2 linked regions of the Mus musculus genome follow. The protein of the gene in region 1 interacts with the protein of each later gene in a biochemical or structural test. Links are inferred from orthologs where the notes say so. Each region holds a gene or a part of one and is shown in the gene's direction. Other genes may lie near its edges.

Evidence for each region. The genes of interacting proteins can lie anywhere in the genome.
Region 2: the proteins of Pdzd2 (region 1) and Ctnnd2 form a complex in vitro, tested with the Homo sapiens proteins (2 studies listed by BioGRID and IntAct, with this or other methods). The link is inferred for Mus musculus from reciprocal best matches to the Homo sapiens genes PDZD2 and CTNND2.

Annotation. Positions count from the first base shown.
Region 1 is NC_000081.6:12,736,983-12,741,361, reverse strand, and holds the start of Pdzd2 (PDZ domain-containing protein 2), read left to right. Parts: upstream 1-1,469; 5' UTR 1,470-1,745; intron 1,746-4,379.
Region 2 is NC_000081.6:30,171,297-30,175,424, forward strand, and holds the start of Ctnnd2 (catenin delta-2), read left to right. Parts: upstream 1-1,237; 5' UTR 1,238-1,830; coding exon 1,831-1,867; intron 1,868-1,873; exon of another isoform or gene 1,874-2,507; intron 2,508-4,128. UniProt on the Homo sapiens protein: Has a critical role in neuronal development, particularly in the formation and/or maintenance of dendritic spines and synapses. Involved in the regulation of Wnt signaling.

The DNA of each region.
Region 1 (4,379 bases):
GGGATCGCTGAACAAACAGATAGCACTGCATAATTGTGGGAGGATTTTTAGTGGCATCCTAATAACACCTTTCTAGGCAATGGTGCCTATTTCATTGAACACCTCCTAAGCGCTACACAGAACAATCCACTGCTCCGTTCTGCATGGTAAGGGTTTTCTCTATAGACAGGAGGAGAAGCTTTCAGGCGGTGAAGACTGCCGTTTATAATACCCAGGCCTGGATTTGTATAGACATTGATCTCTGTGGATTGGGAATTATAAACGCCAAGGAAAAGCTGAATCCAAGAACCCCAACACTTGCTGAAAATACTATCTAGAAACGCCTTGGGTCTACTCTGGTCTCTGGTGCTGAGGGACACTCCATGAGGGCTGCAGGTGACGTAGCTGCTCTTCCAAGAGAGCAGCTCTTAATGCTTTGCTGGGCAAATCTAGAGCCTAGCCATGCTCCAACGTATCCTCACCTCCCTCAAAGCAAAAGATTTCCAATTACTGTTCTGCAGAAAATGTCAAAAGCATTATTCACCAACTCATGATCCCGAGGTTTGTAATTTTTCCTATGTTTTTACCCTTATCTGCCAGCACTTGAAAAAGACCAGCTTTTTCCTCTCAAGAGAGCTTAATTTGCAGAGCCGTGCGGTCTCCCTATTATGTTCTTATCGTCCTCTCCCTGTGGTAGGCAGAATGACAAGGATGACAAAAAAAAAAAAAAAAAAAAAAAGGGAACCAAAAATATTTGAAGACTTCCTGAAAATCTGTGGGATGAAGCATCCAAAAAGCTAGAGGCTCCCGTTTTCCCAGTGACCTGGAATAAAACGAAGGGCAGTTGGCCTTAGCTCTTGAGGTTCACTCAGAAGGAGGTTCACAACGTCCAAATCCTCCATCCTGGGGCCCATGGAATTTCCTCTAGCGGCTTAATTGAAGGATTAACAGCTCTGAGGTTCTTAAGACGCAAAGAGGTTCTCTCTCCCGAGGAATGCTCATACCAAGACTATATTAAGTATCCTAAGGACCAGAGGCCAGTGGATGGATGGTTGGCTTTTCTCCGGTCTCCCTGGGCCTCCCCACCCAATCTCTGATAAGGCAATTGACATTTTTCTCCGCTATGTGCTATGTTAAGTGCTATGCAAAAGGAAATTAAACCTCCTAGCTCTAGTTCTTCCACCTAGATGGCGCCCCAAGCCCTGCCTACATGGCGTTTCTGAGCCGCAGTCTCCCTGGATCGGTTCCTCCCAGGATCCCCAGGAAGCCGGCGCACTAGGACTGCTGTTTCCCTGGGAGAGCGGTCCTCCCCGCTCAGGGGCTTGCTCGGGGGAATCCCCGCCCACCTTGTCATTCCTGCAGGGGAATCCCCGCCCCCTGGGCCTGTCACTCCGGGAAGGTAGTTCCCGCCCCTCGGATCCAGCAGAGGGAAGGAATCCCCGCCCATTCTGGAGGCTCGGAGCATCCCTGCGCTGCGCAGCGAGAAGCTCACTCCCAGCGCCAGTGCGTACTAGCGGCGGGCAGTGGGACGCGGCGGGGCGGCTGCGGCGGGCGCCCTCCAAGCGCCCCACCGATCGCAAGACGCTCGGGATCGCGCCTCCGGCGGCAACCAGCAAACCCCTGCGGCGCGGCTTCTCCCGGCAGGCGCGGCAACAGCACCGGTGGTGGTGGTGGCAGGGGCGGCGGTAGCTGCGCCGGCACCGCCGGGCGGCGCCTGAGTCTGGACGCTCCAGGAGCGGCTCGAGCCTCCGCCGATCCGCGAACAGGTGAAGAGACCTGGCGCCGCAGCCGCGACGGGGGTGGGGCTTCGGGTGGGCTAGCGGGGTAGCTGAGCTCGATAACCCCAAGACGGTGTGCGCTGGAGAAAGTTCAGTGACAATCGGGTGTGGGGATCCCAGTTCAAGCAAAGAGGCGAGTGAGGGCACCCAAGTGGGTCCCCGCGTTAGGTGGCGCAAACTCCTCTTCCTTCTAGTGGGAGGTAAGAGGGGCACAGTGGAGGAGAGAGGTTGGGCGGAGCGAGATGGAGACAGCGGGATAACCGGAGGCGCCTTGCCTGGGACGCCTAAATCGGGCCAAGAATCCTTATCCCAGTGTGTTGGTTTGTCTCTCTACCTTAGCCAGTTACTGTTTTAAGGACCATCCTCCCGCGCTTCATCTCTCGCTAACCCCCCTGCCCACTAAGTGGCGCGAGAAAGAGTCCGCATGAAGAGCAAGGGCATCTTTGGGGGTTTAATGTCATCTGCCAGGGAGATAAGGGATGTTCCAGTAGGAAAGTATTTCTTCCTGAAGTCCCCCCCCCCAAAAAAAAAACCACCTGCCCGCCTTTCCCAATGAAGCACAAGACTGAATTGTGGTGGGGGGAGCATCTAGGACCCTGGACAGAAGTTTACCAGCGGCCCTTCAGCAGCCCTGCTCTCTGCATAGCTCTTGATAAGGGACCCTGGAGTCACACCAGGTCTGGCATGTGCTGGTGGCAAACACTGGAAAGTCGGACACTGGGGCATTCCAGAGTCCAGGCATATACTGGAGATTTGGGCATTGTGGAGGCCTGAGCTGGGGCTTGCCTCTTCCATGGGTTTTGCTTGACAAGTCACAATGAAGCTCCTGAAGGTTAAGTGGTTGTGGAGTGACCAAAGAAAGTGAGTTTCTCTTGCAGACACACCCCTGAATCTTCACAGCACTTCTCTTGGGGGGGGGGGGGGGGAGGAACCTCCCACATTCATCTCTGCTCCAGGCTTGGGCGATAGGGTCTCGACTGTTTCTACTGGGTCAGCTTTTTCTGGCCCGTGCCTTCTGGGTGGGAGCCAGGTAGGTACACGCTGGCAGGTGTGGTGTGGGAGGACTGCTTGTGAGGGCGGAATAAAATCTCTCAGAGCACACCCCTGGCTGTGGGTGGTTGTTCTAGCTCCATGAATTTCTTCTTCTATTTGGATGAGCCAGGAACTGCTGCTACTATAAAAGCTACACCGTGGTGTGAGCTTGTGTGGTGTGTTACCGGGTAGGAGTAGCAGGGCTGGTAGGTGTTGGGAAAAAAATCAGAACCATGTGAGGTATATAAATGCATCCCCTTGGCATAGTTAATAACCGCCTAGAAAAAGAAAAAGGATATTGAATGGCGCTTTACATCTATCATTGAAATTGATTTTGGATGCACTTACGGCAGTTTACTATTTAAGGAAACGTATGATAATTCCTCTATTCATTTCAATCATTTGGAGCACCTGTGGTTTGCTGGGTCTAGGGCTTCCAAGGGAAGTGCACAGAGTAAAGAGACTCTGTCCCTGCTGGCAAGCGTTTCAGTGTAGCAGGAGAGATGTCTCTTTATAGCGATGATACAAGCTAGAGCCCTCTGGCTTTAGAGTAAATTCTCTATGCTTAGTGGGTGAAGGAATGAAGGTATGATTAAATTGCTAAATTTAAGTAAGTTCCAAATAAAACATCTTAGGGGTATGGAGGAGAACAAAGCCCCCTTTTCACTGTGGGGATTGTGGAGCTTTGCGGGGGTCCACCTAGAGGAGGAAGTGTATGCAGAAAGGTTGATCCTGTCTTTGGATTCTTTCATGGCACCAGAGACTGAGCTTTGACCCACATGAATCTGGTTTTCCAGACAGTTGGGAAATAGTTGGGATTTTTGAACAAGGGTCTATCACAATCAGGTATTTGCTTCCGGGAAATTCTTGTGGAAAGAACTGAGACAGGGAGAGGAGAGACGTCGAGTCTAATGAGGAGATTCTTGCAGCGCGATGGTCGAGGAGGCAGTGAAGGTCTAAGCTAGTGGATGGCAGCTTGTGAGGAAGACAGAAAAGAGTCATCAACTGTGGGGCAGGGGTGGGATTCAGAGAGCAGAGACAAAGCCCACCTGCAGGCTCTGAGCACAAGTAGTTGAGCCAAGTTAGGGAGTTTGGGGTTTTAACATCTGACAAAGCAGCAATCTGGAGAAGTCCTTTCAGACTCTCTCTCTCTCTCTCTCTCTCTCTCTCTCTCTGTGTGTGTGTGTACATGTTGGTGAGTGTGAGTGAGTATGTGACGTGCCTCAGGTGTAGCAGTGAGAGGAGCATTCTGTGGAGTCAGTTTTCTCCTTTCATCACAGGTTCCAGGGGCTAAACTCAGGTGGACGGGCTTGCATAGCGAGAACCCTTACCAACTGAGCCACTGAGCCCAGCCTTCCTTTTCTCACTACTACTTGTAAAACTTGTCAAGGCTCTGGGGATGTATGGGGTAAGCTTCAAACTGCTGAGATTTCTCTCTTGCCACATTATTCAGCACACATACACGAGAGAGAGAGAGAGAGAGAGAGAGAGAGAGAGAGAGAGAGAGAGGCACACATAGAGAGATACACATAGACACACAAAGAACATACACACAGAGAGAGATACAGAGAGGGTCACATACACACACAA
Region 2 (4,128 bases), about 17 Mb from region 1:
CCTACACTGGAGAACAACTTTTGGGAGTGAGACTGAGCCTACTAGAGGTAGATGGAATGACTGACGGTGCACATTTCCCTGTTGTGAACAGTCATTACTCAATCTCTTGTCTGTTCCTTTACATATTTAGTCTGCTTAACTTTTCTTTCCACTTGCCTCAGCCTTTCACTAACTCCAGAGAATAATAGAGGCTATCTCAGATTTAATGCAAGCATTTTGACCTTGTTGGATAATCTCTTGCAAACTGAATAGAAATGTCCCTGAGATTACTGAAGCTGGAACCCCTCTTATTACAAGTTCGGGGTTCCTGGTCCATTTATCTGTGTCTCAGAAAATGGCTCTGGGAAAGAGTAGGGTGGGGTGGGCTGGCTTCAAAGTAAGGATCTTTGGTGGAATAATTATGGGACGTATTTGTCCTGCATGTGACTGACAGACTTTGCAGCCACACAGGGACATAGATGAAGGTCCTGAGGGCCTGCCTGCCTTGGAACTTGGCATGGGTTTCGTTTTCCAACAAGACTTTTCATAGTGTGACTTTGCTTGCTAGATTTAGCACTCTGTGTTGCCTAATGACTGACTAACTGAGAGACATTCGGAAATCTCAGTTGGAAATGGAGCAAGCTTCACAGACTCCACCGCGGTCAGTGGAGGAGGAGCAAAGTTTTCATTTTAGCACGGGACAATGGAAGAGAAGAGGAAAACAGTCGTGGAGGTGTCCAAGAAGACAACTGGGTGAGACGTGACAGGAAGACGAAGAGAATTCATTAAAGCTCTAGATCCAGCAAGGGTCTTCCTTGTAGGAAGTTTACTCATATTCCAGATTTTAAAACCAGACTGAGTTTGCATAAAGCATAATCAGAGCAGGAGGTGGTGGAGATGGGGCCCCAACACTACGAAAGAACCTTTCACAGACGTCATGCGTTCTTTGCTTTGGAACCCTAGAATCTACAAGAACATCCACCCCCATCCACTAGCTTTCATGGCTGGCCCGGTGCTCTCCTTAACTCACAAGCTACTCTAAAACCCCTCAATCGCTGCCCCTTTGCAGACCAACATCTGCCCCGCAGAATCAACTCTCCGCGTAGGCTCTATCTCGGGTGCTGTCTGTTCCCGGGGATGCGCGGCCCTCTCCCAACCTGAGCCGCCTCCTCCCATCTCTGCTGCTGTTGCTGCCGCCGCGAAAACCAGAAGTGGAATTCGCGTGGCGAGGCGCCGCGCTCTCTCGGCGGCACTGGGCATGCTCCGCACCCGGGGCAGGTTTCGGTGGTGGGGCGGACGCTCGCTCGCTCACTAGCCAAGCGCCGGAGCCGGCCGCCGCGGCTGAGCCGGAGGCTGAGCTGCGGCGCGCGGCGGGAGGAGCCTCGCTCTCGGCGGCGGCGGCGGCGGCGGCGACACAGGTGGCGCGGGCGGCGCGCAGGGCGCAGCTCGAGAGCGCTCGGCGCCGGGCGCCAGGGCGGCCCAGGCTCGCGCCCGCGGCGGCAACCGGCCGAGCGGAGCGGCGGGCGCGGCGGCTCGGTAGCCCGGCCCGAGCCCGGGGAGCCCCGCGGAACCCTGAGCATCCCGCGGCGCCCGCCGAGTCGGGCAGGGGGCGCTACGCTCGCCGCGCTCGGAGGGGCGGCCGGGCCGGGCGCTGCGCACTCGCGTCGGGAGCCGCCTCTCGCCTGCCGCGCTCGCCCCTGCTCCCCGCCAGCATCACTTGTCCCGCGGCCGCGCTCCGACAACAAAAGCGGAGGATGCTGCAGCTGGGCAAGGTCAGGACCTTGCTCTGAAGCCGGGCGGCGGCGCGCACGCCTTTCCCCCGACTGAGGAGCTGTCTTTGGCGGCGGGTGCATGTTCGCCAGGAAGCAGTCGGGCGCCGCGCCGTTCGGTGAGTTGCCTTAGCTGAGCTGCTGGAGCCGGGCGCATCCTCCGGGCGTCGTCCTCTTGCTCACCGCCGGTGGGGGTTGGTCCTCCGCTTCCAGCGGGGCTAGGGGTGGCGGCGGGCGGCAGTGGGGTGCTGTCTGCCCCGGGGGAGGACCGCGATCCTACCGGCTCCCCTCTTGGAAGGCGGCTCTCCCCGCAACGGGGTCCGGGGTCAGTGTCTTTCTTGGAGCGGTTACCAAGTGGCTTCTCCGCGTGCTCCCCTCCCTGCCACCCCTCTACCTCGGAGGACGCGTATATAGGGCAACACCGACTGCTCCCCGCCACCCTCCAGAGCAACCCGGTTGCATTCATGACGTCCCTAATATACCGGAGAAGACGGGGTGGGGGCGGGGAAGACTTCCTTCCAGTCTTTTGCCCTTATGTTCAATGTCATTACGATGTTTGGCTAGAACAAAATGGAAAGACTTAGTCATATGCGTCCATGGCCGTTTCTTCAGTCTCCCGCTGCTCGCCAGACCCAGACCCCTTTGGTCTATATTTAGCGTTTCCGAGGAAGCATTTTCAGAGGGATTCACAGGCTTCCGGGGGCTTCTCTGTCCTGACAATAGATAGCGAGGCTCTGGAAAGCGCTGCCTGACAGCCAGGTTTGGCAAGGGTGCTTGTGCATGGGAGATAGGCGTAGCGATATTTGGGTGATTCGTAATTAATGGCTGAAAGCAAAGCTGCGTTTCGCTCCCCCCTTCCTCTTCTTCTTGTGTGTAATGTGTTTTCATCGATTGATACTCAGCATGTTGAGCCACTCTGTTCAGAGTAAAGTCTCTAGGAAGGAGGTGCAACCTCCTCGGTCGGAGGGTGGGGGTCGGAAAACAGACTTGGGGGCTTAGAGGGATGTGCATCTCTGTATTTTCCACAAGGAGCCACTTATTTCTCAAATACCCAAAGTTGCGTTTTCACTGTAAACACCGGGGTAATGAAGGGTGTGGAAGAAGAGGATAATAGAGGGGGAGGCTGTGCTTGCAAGGGGTTTGTATTTCCCTCATTTGAACTGATCTGCTGTGCTTCAACTCTGCAAGGCTGTATACGTATGCATGCCTAATGTTCTCTAAGAGATATGTTGGCTTAGAAAAGAGATATGTAATGAGCAAAAATCAGGCCCGATAAGCATGACGGACAGTTCACTTTTAGGAACTGTGTGACTGATATTTAAGACGCCGAGAATTTTCTGCATTGACTTCCATGAAAATGGGGAGGTGTTGCCCCTGCCCATGAGTTACCTCATTTTGCACACTTCCACTGGTGGTAGTTCAGTTGATGTGCCCGCTGGTGAGCATGTATCAACATAATTGGAAGGCTCCCCAGCCCCGCTACTAAAATCCAGTGGAAGATTGTTTGATATGACTCCTTTTGGATTGCCAACGTAGAACAGTGCATGATTTGGGGGATCTGATATATGGGAGGTATGGCCAATAGAGGCAAGAATCCTCGTGTATGGAATAGCTGCTTTCAACAGCCAGATGCCTCTTCCTTTAGTGATTCTCTGTGCCAAGCAGAATCCATTGTTAATGTTGAATAGTATCCGTACTGGTCTGTGGGTTACAAGGTCCAAAGCTTGAATGAAGATGGGCTATGCTTGGAATTAGTTGTTGGAATATAGAAGGACTGTAATTTTACTAATAACAAGCGAGCGTGGGAAAAGCACCGCCGGAGGCTACTCTGCTTGGCTTAAGGGAACGCTGCGATTCCTTTGCCAACACTGCTGTAGTTTCACCTTTATTCACATTCAGGCAACTTTACAGGAGCGCTTTGAGCACACTCTTGGAGCCCTTGCATTATATCAATGTAAAATTTCTTTCAGAAGCATGCCTTAGATGAAGGAGGTGTACTTTCCCCTTTCCTTTCCTTTCCTTTCCTTTCCTTTCCTTTCCTTTCCTTTCCTTTCCTTTCCTTTCCTTTCCTTTCCTTTCCTTTCCTTGAGTCTAGTGTTTCAGTTTTAACCATGATTCTTACAGACGAGTTGACAACACTGTGTGCCTGTGTGTGCCTCCAGAGAGCAGCTGCTGGGCGTGAGAAAAACTCCATGGCTTCTGCATGAGACTTTTATGCTATATTGTGGGTTGAAAATGATAGTACCTGACTGAATGGCAGTTTTAGCAAGTGCATGAGGTTGGTGCTCTAATGAAATTGTCCTAGTCTTGTGCAAAGGGGTTATTTAACTGTGTGTGTGTGTGTGTGTGTGTGTGTGTGCACTTGTAAAACCAAATCACC